2 linked regions of the Mus musculus genome follow. The protein of the gene in region 1 purifies or fractionates together with the protein of each later gene. This does not show direct contact. Links are inferred from orthologs where the notes say so. Each region holds a gene or a part of one and is shown on either strand. Other genes may lie near its edges.

What was found.
Region 2: the proteins of Gars (region 1) and Gfpt1 fractionate together in Homo sapiens (co-fractionation; 3 studies listed by BioGRID, with this or other methods). This does not show direct contact. The link is inferred for Mus musculus from reciprocal best matches to the Homo sapiens genes GARS1 and GFPT1.

The regions. Positions count from the first base shown.
Region 1 is NC_000072.6:55,043,407-55,049,240, reverse strand, and holds part of Gars (glycine--tRNA ligase), read right to left. Parts: intron 2,828-5,834; coding exon 2,726-2,827; intron 1,175-2,725; coding exon 1,072-1,174; intron 1-1,071. UniProt on the Homo sapiens protein: Catalyzes the ATP-dependent ligation of glycine to the 3'-end of its cognate tRNA, via the formation of an aminoacyl-adenylate intermediate (Gly-AMP).
Region 2 is NC_000072.6:87,055,485-87,061,318, reverse strand, and holds part of Gfpt1 (glutamine--fructose-6-phosphate aminotransferase [isomerizing] 1), read right to left. Parts: intron 5,176-5,834; coding exon 5,117-5,175; intron 3,690-5,116; coding exon 3,555-3,689; intron 1,940-3,554; coding exon 1,878-1,939; intron 799-1,877; coding exon 719-798; intron 1-718.

The DNA of each region.
Region 1 (5,834 bases):
ATCCTACGGGTCCTCTATGCGCGTATTATGGCTTCCAGTTTCATGTTCTTACGGGATTCCCGAGTGTGGGTGAGCACGTCTCTGTGCCTTTATCTGCTTCTTGGGCTTTCTCTTCTGTTTTGTTTCATTCCATTCCAATCTGGGTTTTTTTTTCCCTCTCTTATTACATTTATTCAATTGACCTTTAGATATCCGTTAGTTTTCCAGGGAGAGACAGAAAGGAGGTGGATATGGATGAGAGGAAAAAGTGGGAAGGAAAACTGGCGCACGCCTTTAATCCCAGCACTCGGGAGGCAGAGACAGGTGGATTTTTGAGTTCAAGGCCAGCCTGGTCTACAGAGTGAGTTCCAGGACAGCCAGGGCTACACAGAGAAACCTTGTCTCAGAAAAAGAAAAGAAAAAGAAAAAAAAGAAAACTATCCATTTAAAAAAAAAAAAAAGGCCGACAGGGCCGACAGTGGTGACACACACCTTTAATCCCAGCACTCAGGATGCAGAAGCAAGGAGACTCTAGGTTTGAGGCCAGCCTGGTCTACAGAGTTCTAGGACAGGACAGCCATGGCTACACAGAGAAACTGTCTTAGAAAAAAAATATATAAACAAAGAAATAAATTTTACAAGGGGGTGGGAGGGTAATTAACAGAGTGGGGAGTACTAAGAGTTTATGCAAATATCAACTCTTGAACAACAAAAATGTAAATTACATGACTTCTCTCCTTTATGGGATCTGACACAATTGAATAAACATCAGTTAGCAAGCCAAGCTCTTGACAAAGCATAGTGTGATTTAGATAAGTTTGGCCCCAAAGACACACTTTAGAATACTTGGCTCAAAGGAAGTGGTACTACTAAGAGGTGTGGCCTTATTGGAGGAAGTGTTGGGGTGGGCTTGAGGTTTCCCAAGCTCAGACTCTGCTCAGCGTGGAGAGACCCTCCTCCCAGCTGCTTGCAGAAGACAGTGTCCTGGCTGCCTTCTGATCAAGATATAGAACTCAGCTTCTTCTCCAGCACCCTGTCTGCCCCATGCTGCCATGCTTCCCATCATTCACTGTGGCTTCATTCACCCCCTACCTCCATAAATAGCAAAAGCCTGATCGTAGAAAAACCTCCTCTTCAACGTATCTTCCATTTTTGCTCTATCTACGATGTCATCTTTGGGCTGCAATGCCAGCTCCTATAAGAGCAAACAAGAAGAGAGTAATTGGACAGGTAGGCGGGGTTCTAACACATCTGAATTTGGTAGAATCCAGTATAAAATGCTAGAGATGTAAGACGTTGAGGAGCTAAAGTGGAGGCCTCAGTCCCCACAAACACTTTGAGCAGCAGTAAAGAAGCTGTGATAGTTTGGATCTTAAAGTCCCCAGCAGCTCAGAGTTGAAGGCTCATTGGCTCTCCAGTTGACAGTGTTGCTGGAAGTGATGGAAACACCACGAGACGCGCTCGCGCTCTCGCTCTCTCTGTCTGTCTGTGTGTGTGTGTGTGTGTGTGTGTGTGTGTGTGTGTGTGTGTGTTGAGGCAACAGTGTCCCTCCCCATGTCATTTGCACCACAGGTCTGAGCAAACAGGCTGAATATAGACAATAACGCCTGACACTCTAGCCCAATAAGCCTTTGATTCCTGAGATGTGTCGCTCACAGCAATGGGAAGCTGAATAATGCAGACACTGCTACTCACGTAGCAGATATGATTACTTACGATTGGAGTCTTTCTGCCTACAATCCCAGAATTGAGTTATCGAGCCAGAAGGAGTTTAAAGTCAAACTGACTACAGTAAGACTTGCTCTCAAGAAAACAAAAAACAGACAGGACTACTACACTTCTTTGAAGTAATTTAAGCAATATCTCAGTTTATAATGTATTATGTAAGACATCACTTTAAAACCTCAGCTGCAAGGCTCAGGAGATGGCCTAGCAGGTAAGTGCTATTGACTAACACAGGCCTGAATTCAGCAGCCCCCTCTGTACCCACATAAAAGCACAGTGTGGGGTCATGGATCTGTAACCCCAGCGTTGAGGAGATGGAGTCAGAGGATGTCAGGAGCTCACTGGCTGGCTAGTATTGCCAAACCGAGGAACTCCAGGGCCAGTGAGAGATGCCTGTCTCAAAAAATAAAAGGGACAGCAAGAAGGGACCCGACAGGTACCTCTGGCACTGAAGCACAGACAGACACAGACAACCCTCCCCCAATCCAAAACAAAACAAACTGACCTCTTGGACTATTTAAATTTAATGCTAGCAGGTTTACAGTTTGAAAAGGTCTGAAGTTAAATATAAGACAGATTATAACAAAACTATTAAATCTAATCCCAGGTGAATTCTTAAAGAGGAGCATGATGTCTTCTAGGAAATTCATGTATTTTATTATGTCTAGGACTGGGGGACAGTGAGAGTTTGGGTTCAGGTAGTGCGGAAGCTTTAGAGACTACGGGGCATTGTAAGCTGCACTTCGTTCTTGAAGCAGGGTCTAATGTGCTAGGCAAATGCTCCACCACTGAGCTACACAGCCTTGAGCAGCTCTCAGAGAAGACAAGAAGTTGGTTAGGTAGAAGGAGGAAAAGGCACAATGAATAATAAAAAAAAAAAGACCAAATGGCACTTGTTCAGAAAGCTTTTGAGTGGCACTTGTTCAGAAAGCTTTTGAGATCTTTCCTACCTGGAGAGATTAAACAAAGAGGAATAAGCCTACACCTACTGACGTTTCTGCCTTAGCATCCTAAGACTTACCTTTGCTTCCAGAACCCTCTTCCGGGCCTTGAGCTCAGCTACTGCTCTGTCCACATCCACTTGTGGGGCTTTATCTTCTTTTAACTTCCGTACAAAGTCTCCCTGGCCAACAAACAAGCTACAATCAGGACTGGTTTCAGAAATCAGCAAACACTAGTGCTCTTTTTAAACATGCACTTAAAAAGTATTTGTACACAAATACCAATTGCACGTGTTTATTCTGTAAGAAGTCTGTAAGAAGTATCAATAACTGAAGGCCTGTGTCCACAGCATGCACTGTCCAGGAGAACATAAGTAAGTGGGTTCACACGGTGAGTCTGTGGGGAGAGAACAGCGCTCACCTACATATGGACGACTGACACTGAATGTTCAGGCAGGTTACCAGCACATCAGACACACTGAAGAGAGAATTAGTCACCTAAGAGACAGACTTTAAAAGTGCCTGGAACAGTTCAGAAAGCCAGAGTTTAAACCCTCGGGCTGGTAAAGAGCAGTAATCTAATACATTCAATTAGAATGTATAAGAAAGTAAAAAAAAAAACAAAAAACAAAAAACTTTTAAGAGGCAAAATTTGGGAAGATGGTTGACTATAAAATGTCACCAATTAACGGATCAGCACAAGAAAATCCAAACATACACACACAAGATGCCACACCTGGGCAAGCCACAGTAAAGGCTGCTGGGATTTAAAGACTCAGCTTTCACTTCCTATCAGTGAACTGTGAAACCTGGAACAAACTGGAAATCTCTCTGGACTCCCGAGTATGGTAAATCCCTGCAGACTTACCCCCATCTCCTGGGCTGTTACAGAACACTACCAAACCAACTACTGCAATAATAGTATGTGTGCAAAATGGCTAACAGCTTTTGTTCTGCTTGCAGGTACCTCAGCCTGGCTGTGGCCACAGATGCTTCAAGCCAAATCTGTTCCACACTGAATCGTTTTCTGTCTCTCAGGAAACATCAAGCTATGCTTCTTTAGCTCCAACACCTCACTGACTTCACTTCCCTATTTACCCTCTCCCCATCTGACAAGATGCCAGCTTGTCCCATCTCAAATCATCTAACACTAACATGAAACTAGTCCCAAATAACCTCAACTTTAGTGTTGTCATTTTTAAGCTTTACTTTCTGAACACAAACCACCCTTAGCTTGGTAACTGTCTCTACCTTGTGCTCAGTGTCCATCTTCCTACCACTGTGTGTCCCTGAGCTGTGTTTCTCATATTTCCAAATACTCCAACCTGGCTGCCCCCAACGCTGTCCCTCGCAGAAGCACCTTTTTCTCCCATATACAAAGGGCTGAGAGGGTAGTCATGTTTTCTTTACTGTCTTCCCTCCTGAGATCCTAGGCCCTGGAGGGATCCTTAGCATTCTCCTCTGGCTTTCCAAGTCCCCACTCCTCCCTTCATTCATGACAGCCTCTTCTAGAACCAATGTTCTCTAGATATTCCAGGCAGAAAGTACAAACAGAACAAGAACCAATGACACACACCAGAACCCAGTGCCAGCTGTTTCTGCCCTTCAGAACCTCCTAGTGCATTTCCCAGGAGTGAGCACGGTAAATGTGACATAAAGGCTATACCTTATGCTGTGGGTAATTTTTATAAAGAAGTATTCATTGGCTGAGAAAAAACTGTTCAATATTTGGAAAAACACAGCATTAACCACGGCAATGCTGCTGGTATCTAAGCAACCACACATGATGTCTTTACCAGTGCACACGCACAGCAACTGCAGGAGGGTAAACCTGGGCAGGGGCTTAAGCATCCGCTTGGCTCATTACCGCTCCCAGGAGACAGACCAGAATGTACACACTGAAATACTCAGTGCTTGGCTGCTAATGTATCAAACTCCTTCTCTAACTCTTCATATAGCACTATCTGCACACACACGGTTTACTTAGCTGAGCTGGGCACAGTGGTGCTCAGCAGCACTCCAAGGTCTATGATCTGCAGAGACCCCACCTCAAGTAGATTAAGTAACTAACTTCGTTTGACATCCTCTATGAGTTTCACTACAACAACAGGGAATTTTGATGTAAAAAGGAGGCAGCATCTGACATGGTGGAGAGCCATGCTATCAGCCTCTCTCCCCTCTATCACACTCAGTTTCTATTCTATCTCAGCATCAATGTTCCAGGCACCCTCAAACGTCATCTCATCTGCCTCACAATACTTGTGATCCAAAAGTGGACGTTCTGGCTTGTTTAACGTACTCAGATGCAGTCAGAAAAACCTTCAGACATGTCCATTATGACACTCAGGCGTCTGTTGGCTGATACCATTAACCCAGTATGCCAAGCACCCAGCACTCAGTACTAGCTACTGACCCACTCTCCACTCCTTGAGGGGCTCCTCAAGGGTGTTAGAACGTCCACCCCATATGCTTTCTCAAGAGGAAATGAAGCCTGTATGAGCCTTTGTACAGGAGAGGTGGCAAGAGGTCCTTTTCCGTGTTGGAAGCACTCAGGTGAGTCCTCTTTAAAACCTCCCCAGTGTGTTAATTATAGGCTCCCATATCATCTACTTCCTCCTGGAATTCTCACCAGGCACTGTGGAGCCATACCATAGGTATTGAGTAGAAAGGATTTAAAATGCACTATCCCAAGTCACTTTTAGTCTTTTGAGGCACAGGTATTGAGTGGCCAGCCTTCATATGAGAGTCCTGTGAGGGAGGCTTCCTACCGTTGAGGTCACTATCTTTCCAGCCTAGCAAAGAAGGGGAAATTCACATTTATTCTGAGTAATATAGAGAAATTAAGATCTCAATTTATTTTAAACCAAAAAAAAATCAGAGATGCCTTAGACTCAAGGATTCCTACTAGTTAACTATTTTTCTTCAGCACCCAACCTCATCTTGGGGCTTCTGTGAGCACAGTGAATGGAACTGGCCTGTACTGCATCAAGACTTAAACTAGAAGCCCTGTTCCCAGGTGGAGGATTACAATATACACACACCCACACTAACACACACACACACTCATACACACAAGCACACACTCGTACTCATACTCTCACACACACACACACTCTCTCTCTTACACACACACTAATGCTCAGTGTGACACAGGTGAATGGCTAACCTAGAACTTCACCCCAAGGGACC
Region 2 (5,834 bases), about 32 Mb from region 1:
CAGGACCAATAAATAATGATAAACCCTCAAACATAAAAAATAAAGTATGGCTGCAAATTAAATAAAATCAATTATAATATCAATGTAAATATAACAATAAAATGTCACGCACTAAATAAAGACCATTTAAATCTAGTTCAGTCAAGAGTGAGGCTAAGTCTCAGGAAATGGCTGCATACTTCACTGTTCCTTTCCCAATATAAGCATGCATCTATATCATTTTAAATAAAACAGGAAAGAGAAAAAAAAAGCCTTTATTTGAAATATTCCTCAAACCTCCCCTTTTGCAAAACAGTTATTAAATAATGCAACTTTCGAAATGGCAAAAGCAAACAGACAAGATGTATTCTGCAAATTAGAAAAGTGCCAAAACATTTCCCCATAAAGTAAGCACATTTTTAGAGCCTCTGTTCATTTCAAAAACAAAGAATTAGTAAATGAAGGAAGCAGGAGAAACCCTTCCATCCGTGCAGAGTGCATTCCCACCTCGTTCTGCCTGTGATCCCCACCATGTGGATCCAATCTGAGTCCTAGCTAAGGATGTACAACAGAGAAAAATTCTCTCGTCAGTGTTCACAACAAGCTTTTTCTGTCCAGACAGAACTATGTAGTTGTCTGCACAGTACACACAGATCCGACCGGAGAACATTCACTGCAGCATATGGAGCAGCGTCTCAGAGCTCCCGCACCACACTTACAACGTGATGCAGCAACTTACCTGTTCTGTACAGAATCGGAATGTGATCTGTAGAAAGCTTATGTTCACTCCGCACACCAATCAAGAGAGGGCTACCTCGCCTGAAATGCAACGAGTCAGAATCAACCCTTCTCCATAAATAATGCACTAACAATACACATTTTAAGTATGAATTCAAAATTCATTTTAATTTGAAATTTAATGCTCTTCAAATGATTTAATTTCCCCTCTGAATTGAACTACAAAATAACTATATTAGAAAACTGAGTTCCCAGGCCACACCTGCCTACTTCTAATAAACAATTTTCAACTGGCAAATTACTATTGCATTAAAATCTCACTGAGACAGTGAAGCCCTTCCTCTGCGGCTGCTTTCATTCAAGCCTGACAGTGGCTCTGAGTGCTGGCAGGGAGGCCATGTGTCCCAACACACTCAAATATTTCCTGTCTGACCGACTCCACTAACTCATATCTTCTAACACTGTATTTTAAACTGTTCTTTTAATGTGAAGAACTTTTCATTGTACACAGACACCAACACATCCTTAGGCATCCTGTTTCCGATTAAAGATGACCTTCTGTTTTCAGATCATAAAGGTTCTTCTTTTTTTTTTAAGATTTATTTATTTATTATGTATAGTGCTCTGCTTGCATGTATGACTGCAGGCCAGAAGAGGGCACCAGATCTCATTATAGATGGTTTTGAGCCTATGTGTGGTTGCTGGGATTTGAACTCAGGACCTCTGGAAGGGCAGCCAGTGCTATTAACCTCTGAGCTATCTCTCCAGCCCCCCAGATCTTAAATGTTCTTACTGTCCTAAGAATTTCATGATCATTTCTAAACATCCTAGCAAAACCAGTGGTTCTACAATTCCTTCGGAATCTGTCTGACACGCATTTCCAAAAAATATGGAGAAGGTTAATGCTTTGGGTATAAAATTTAAAAATATTCCATATCCAAATTCATAAAGAGCCACCGTGCTCACCAAAGACAAATCACAATGCCAAAATGTGTTCTCTTTCCTAAGAGACTCTGTTAAAAGAGAGAAGGAACCGAGAATAAAAATAGACCTCTACGGAAACGGTGAAGGGCCACCCACAGGTTACTGAGAAGTACCCTGTAACCTGAATGTTTCAACACGCATGTCAGCGTTAGTCCTTAAAAGAAAACCTATTGTACCTTGTGCCAACTGCTTGCCCGGGAAAATGGACACTTTTAAACACAAGAGCAAAGGCGCCTTCCTATGGGGGAAAGAAGCGTCAGTAGTATTCTCGTTAGCGATTCTCAAACAAAGCATTTCGGACATACAACATTCTGCTCAGACACTTCTGTTCACGCTTGTGTACTTTGAGTTAGTTTTTAACAAGTCTCCATTTTAGATGCCGCAGCAAGATCTCCCTAATATCCAAGCCCGCATCTTAGGTAGACACTGACTCGAGCTCTGATGTGAGCAAACTCTGACCACCAAGCTCCCGTTCCAATACTCAATGAAAAAGCGGAGAGTCACCTGTGTGCCTAGCATGTTTCTCAACAGACACATCTCTCTCAGACTACTTGTCTGTTCAGGAAGGAAGAGCCAACAGAAAGTCAAGCTCCACATCCAAAACCCATCACACCCACTACCACTACCTCCACCTTCTACCCTCAGTCTTGGACTTGACAACTATATACAACCATAGTTATTAAAATGAGGTGGAGAGATGGCTCCCTGTTAACACCTGCCTCTGCACGTGTGTACACAGGTTCACGCATGTAGGCACACTGGAGCACCACCCACCCCATACACACATACCAACAAAAAAAAAAAAAAAAAACCCAACATACATGTAGATGTTAGAGGGCAACAGTTCTGCAGTTGGCTCTCTCCTCTGTGAATTCCGAAGAGCAAACTCAGGTTGCCAGCCTTGCACAGCAATTTGTCTACTGAGCCATTTTGTCACCAACACTTACTTACTTTTTACCCTCTAACTACAGTGAAATAGTTAGAATATAGCTATTGTAAAATAAATGGAATGGTAAATCCAGGGAAAACAAGTTACTAAGTCAAAAAACAGTTTTACAAAATTCCCTGCATTGAATTGTGTTTGTGCATATGTGTGTGTCTATGTGCGCCTGGGAATGTGTAATAAAAGCCTAAAAAAGCACTCAGGAGACCAGCACAGGGCTGGGGAGATGGCTCTGTTGGAAAAATGCTACCCACAGAGCATGAGTTCTGACCCCTTGTACTCACATGAAAGATTAGCAACAACAGTTTTAAGATACCCAATGCCAGTCTCCTGCCTTCACTCACACACACACACACACACATTGACAATAAAATATCTCACAAATATAGCTGTCTAATGTTAGACTCCTATGAGTTAAAAAAAAAACCCAGCATAGTTCCTGTTCATCAAACATTTTTAAAAAGCTACTTGAAAACAATATTAGCATAATTACTTTTTCTTGCATGTGTGAGTGTGCTAGTCACGTTTATTAGTATGTGTGTGGGCATACATGGCTGTGGTTATAAATGGAGGTGTGTAGGCACATGTGTGAGTATGGGTAGAAGACAGAGGTTTGAGCTAGCTGTCTCCTTCCACTGTTCTCTGCCGTACATACCAAGGTAGGGTCTCTCACTTGAACCCACAATTTGCTGCCTCACTAATGTAGCCAACCAGACAGCTCGCTGCAAAATCCAGGCCCACCACCTCCTGGGAGCTGGAACTGCAAAGAGGCTACCATAGCCACCCAGCACTTATGTGGGTGCTGGGGACCTGAACTCCAGTCCTCACACTTGCATTGCAAGTGCTTTCCTGATGAGTTATTTCCCCAGTTAGTCCTAACACAATAATCTTTAAGAGTATGGTTTAATACCAATTGTTGGATAACTCTCTCCACCAAGGTGGTAAAACTGACGTCCTGGCTCTCCCAGTTGTCATACATGTACTTGACGAGCTTGGCAATGGTTTCTGTGTCTGTTTCAGATTCAAAGTCATAGCCTTTGCTTTCCTACAAGGAGAGAAAAGGGAAAAAAGGCACACTTAAATATATACAATGTTAAATTTTTTTAATTTTATGGTCCCTTTTTATTCACTTTAAAAAAACAACATTATCTTTTTTCTTTCTATTGTATGCATTTATGTATGTCTGTGCATGAATATGACTGGTGCCCTCAGCTCAGAAGGAGGCATCAGATCCCCTGAAAGGCGAGTTACAGACAGTTGTTTTCCATCCTGTGGGTGATGGGAATTAGTCTTCTGAAGAGCAATGCGTTTTCTAAACCACTGGGCCAGCTCTCCAGCCCCCAGGCAGCAAATATTTTCTAGGATTTTTTTTTCTCAAAAACCAAATGCCTTTCTAATTGTGTGCACACATATATGCGTGTGTAGGTCTGTAAGTACAGGCTAAATGTGTCACCATGGTGTGTGCTTGAGGGTTAGAGGACCACCATGAGGCATCATCAGCTTTAGCTGTCCACCTTTCTGTGGGTTTCAGGGAACAAACTCACCGCTGTCCGCTGGCAACCGCTTTACCCACTGAGTCACCTCATCAACCTAATAGATCTTACTAATTACTAACTTTTTTTGATGTCATACTGAATTTATTCTACTCAAAATTTAAATTACCTAAAAATTAATTTATAATGGCAAATTTAATAAATAAGAATCAATTAATATAGTTAATAAAATAATTAAAATTAATTTTAATCAAAATTAAAATCTGATTGTAGAGAATTCAAAATACAACTCAAAAGGCTTAACTTAGATTTGCCGCATATGAATTAAACTGTAATGAAAATATAGTAGGATATATAATATTCAAAATACTAATTTCATGAGCAACAGTTATTTGGTGATCCTCAACTGTCCAATGAAGATCCATTAGCTATGCATGGTTATTTACACTAAAACTTAAAACCCAGTTTCTCTGTCGGAGCAGTTCAGCGGTCCTATAGGCACAGCTCCCACAATGCTAGATACAGAGAGTTCTCATCACTGCAGAAACTCAACAGACGACACTGAGATGGCCCTGTCACACTACAGAATAAAGCTTGTCCTCAAAATGCCATGTAAGGAATCAGAACTGTGGGGTTGGAGATGGCTCAGCACTTGGGAGCACTGACTGCTCTTCCAGAGGACTGGGATTCGATTCCCAGCAACCACATGGCGGCTCACAACAGTCTGTAACCCCAATTTCTGACACCCTAACACACGTGCATTTAGGCAGGACACCAATGCACATAAAATAAAAATAAAATAAATTATTAAAAAAAGAGAAATCAATTCTGTTCCACTGTCAGCAGAGAAATGCAATGAAACGCCACACCCTGGAGATAATTATGGTAATTACTTGAACATGTCCGCATAACGCTGCACACCCCAACAAACTACCTCCCACTCTCAGAAGACGGCGTCTTCCAGGGTCACCTCGCTTACCAGAAACTTTTTCAAGTCTTTGTAGTTGGTGATGATTCCATTATGAATAACAATGAATTCTAGAGGAGATAAAAGTATTGACCGAATATTAGAGTCTGGTAAATGCTATGAAGAGCTATCATTACGCATAGGCTTCCCGCTGTGTTTCCCCTCCGGTTGTTGTCTTAGTGGTTGCCCTGGGGTTTGAACCCAGGACCCCTCCATGCGAGGCAAGCACTCTCCCAGCCCTCCTTTCTTGAGACAAGGTTTTACTATGTAGCCCAGGCCAGCTTTGACCTAGTGGTCATCCTGTCATCTCTGTCACCCACCACACCTATACAAATCTATAAATGGATTCTTCTCCAGGGAAAAAGTAAGTAATCTGCTAGTGGTCTCCTCGGCGTCAGCAGGCGCTCCCCAGCACTGTTTCTGAGCTGATGCGCACAGCGTTAGTGAGCGTGTACATGAGGAAACACACCAGTTCTGACTTCTGCTCCACTAAGCTACTACCCTCGCACTGGGGGATGAAAGGAGCAAGTCTCCTGTGCCTGTCTCCTCACTTGTAGAGCACTACTCTACTTGGACACTCAGGTCTCTATTTATTCTTGGTTGAGTTTAAACATAAGTCCTTTCCAACTACAACAATCCCAGTGACACTAAATAAAGCTTGGGAACTAATGCCTACATATTTACCAGCGTCTATAAATTGATTTGGGGAAGGTCCAGATCATTCCTGGAA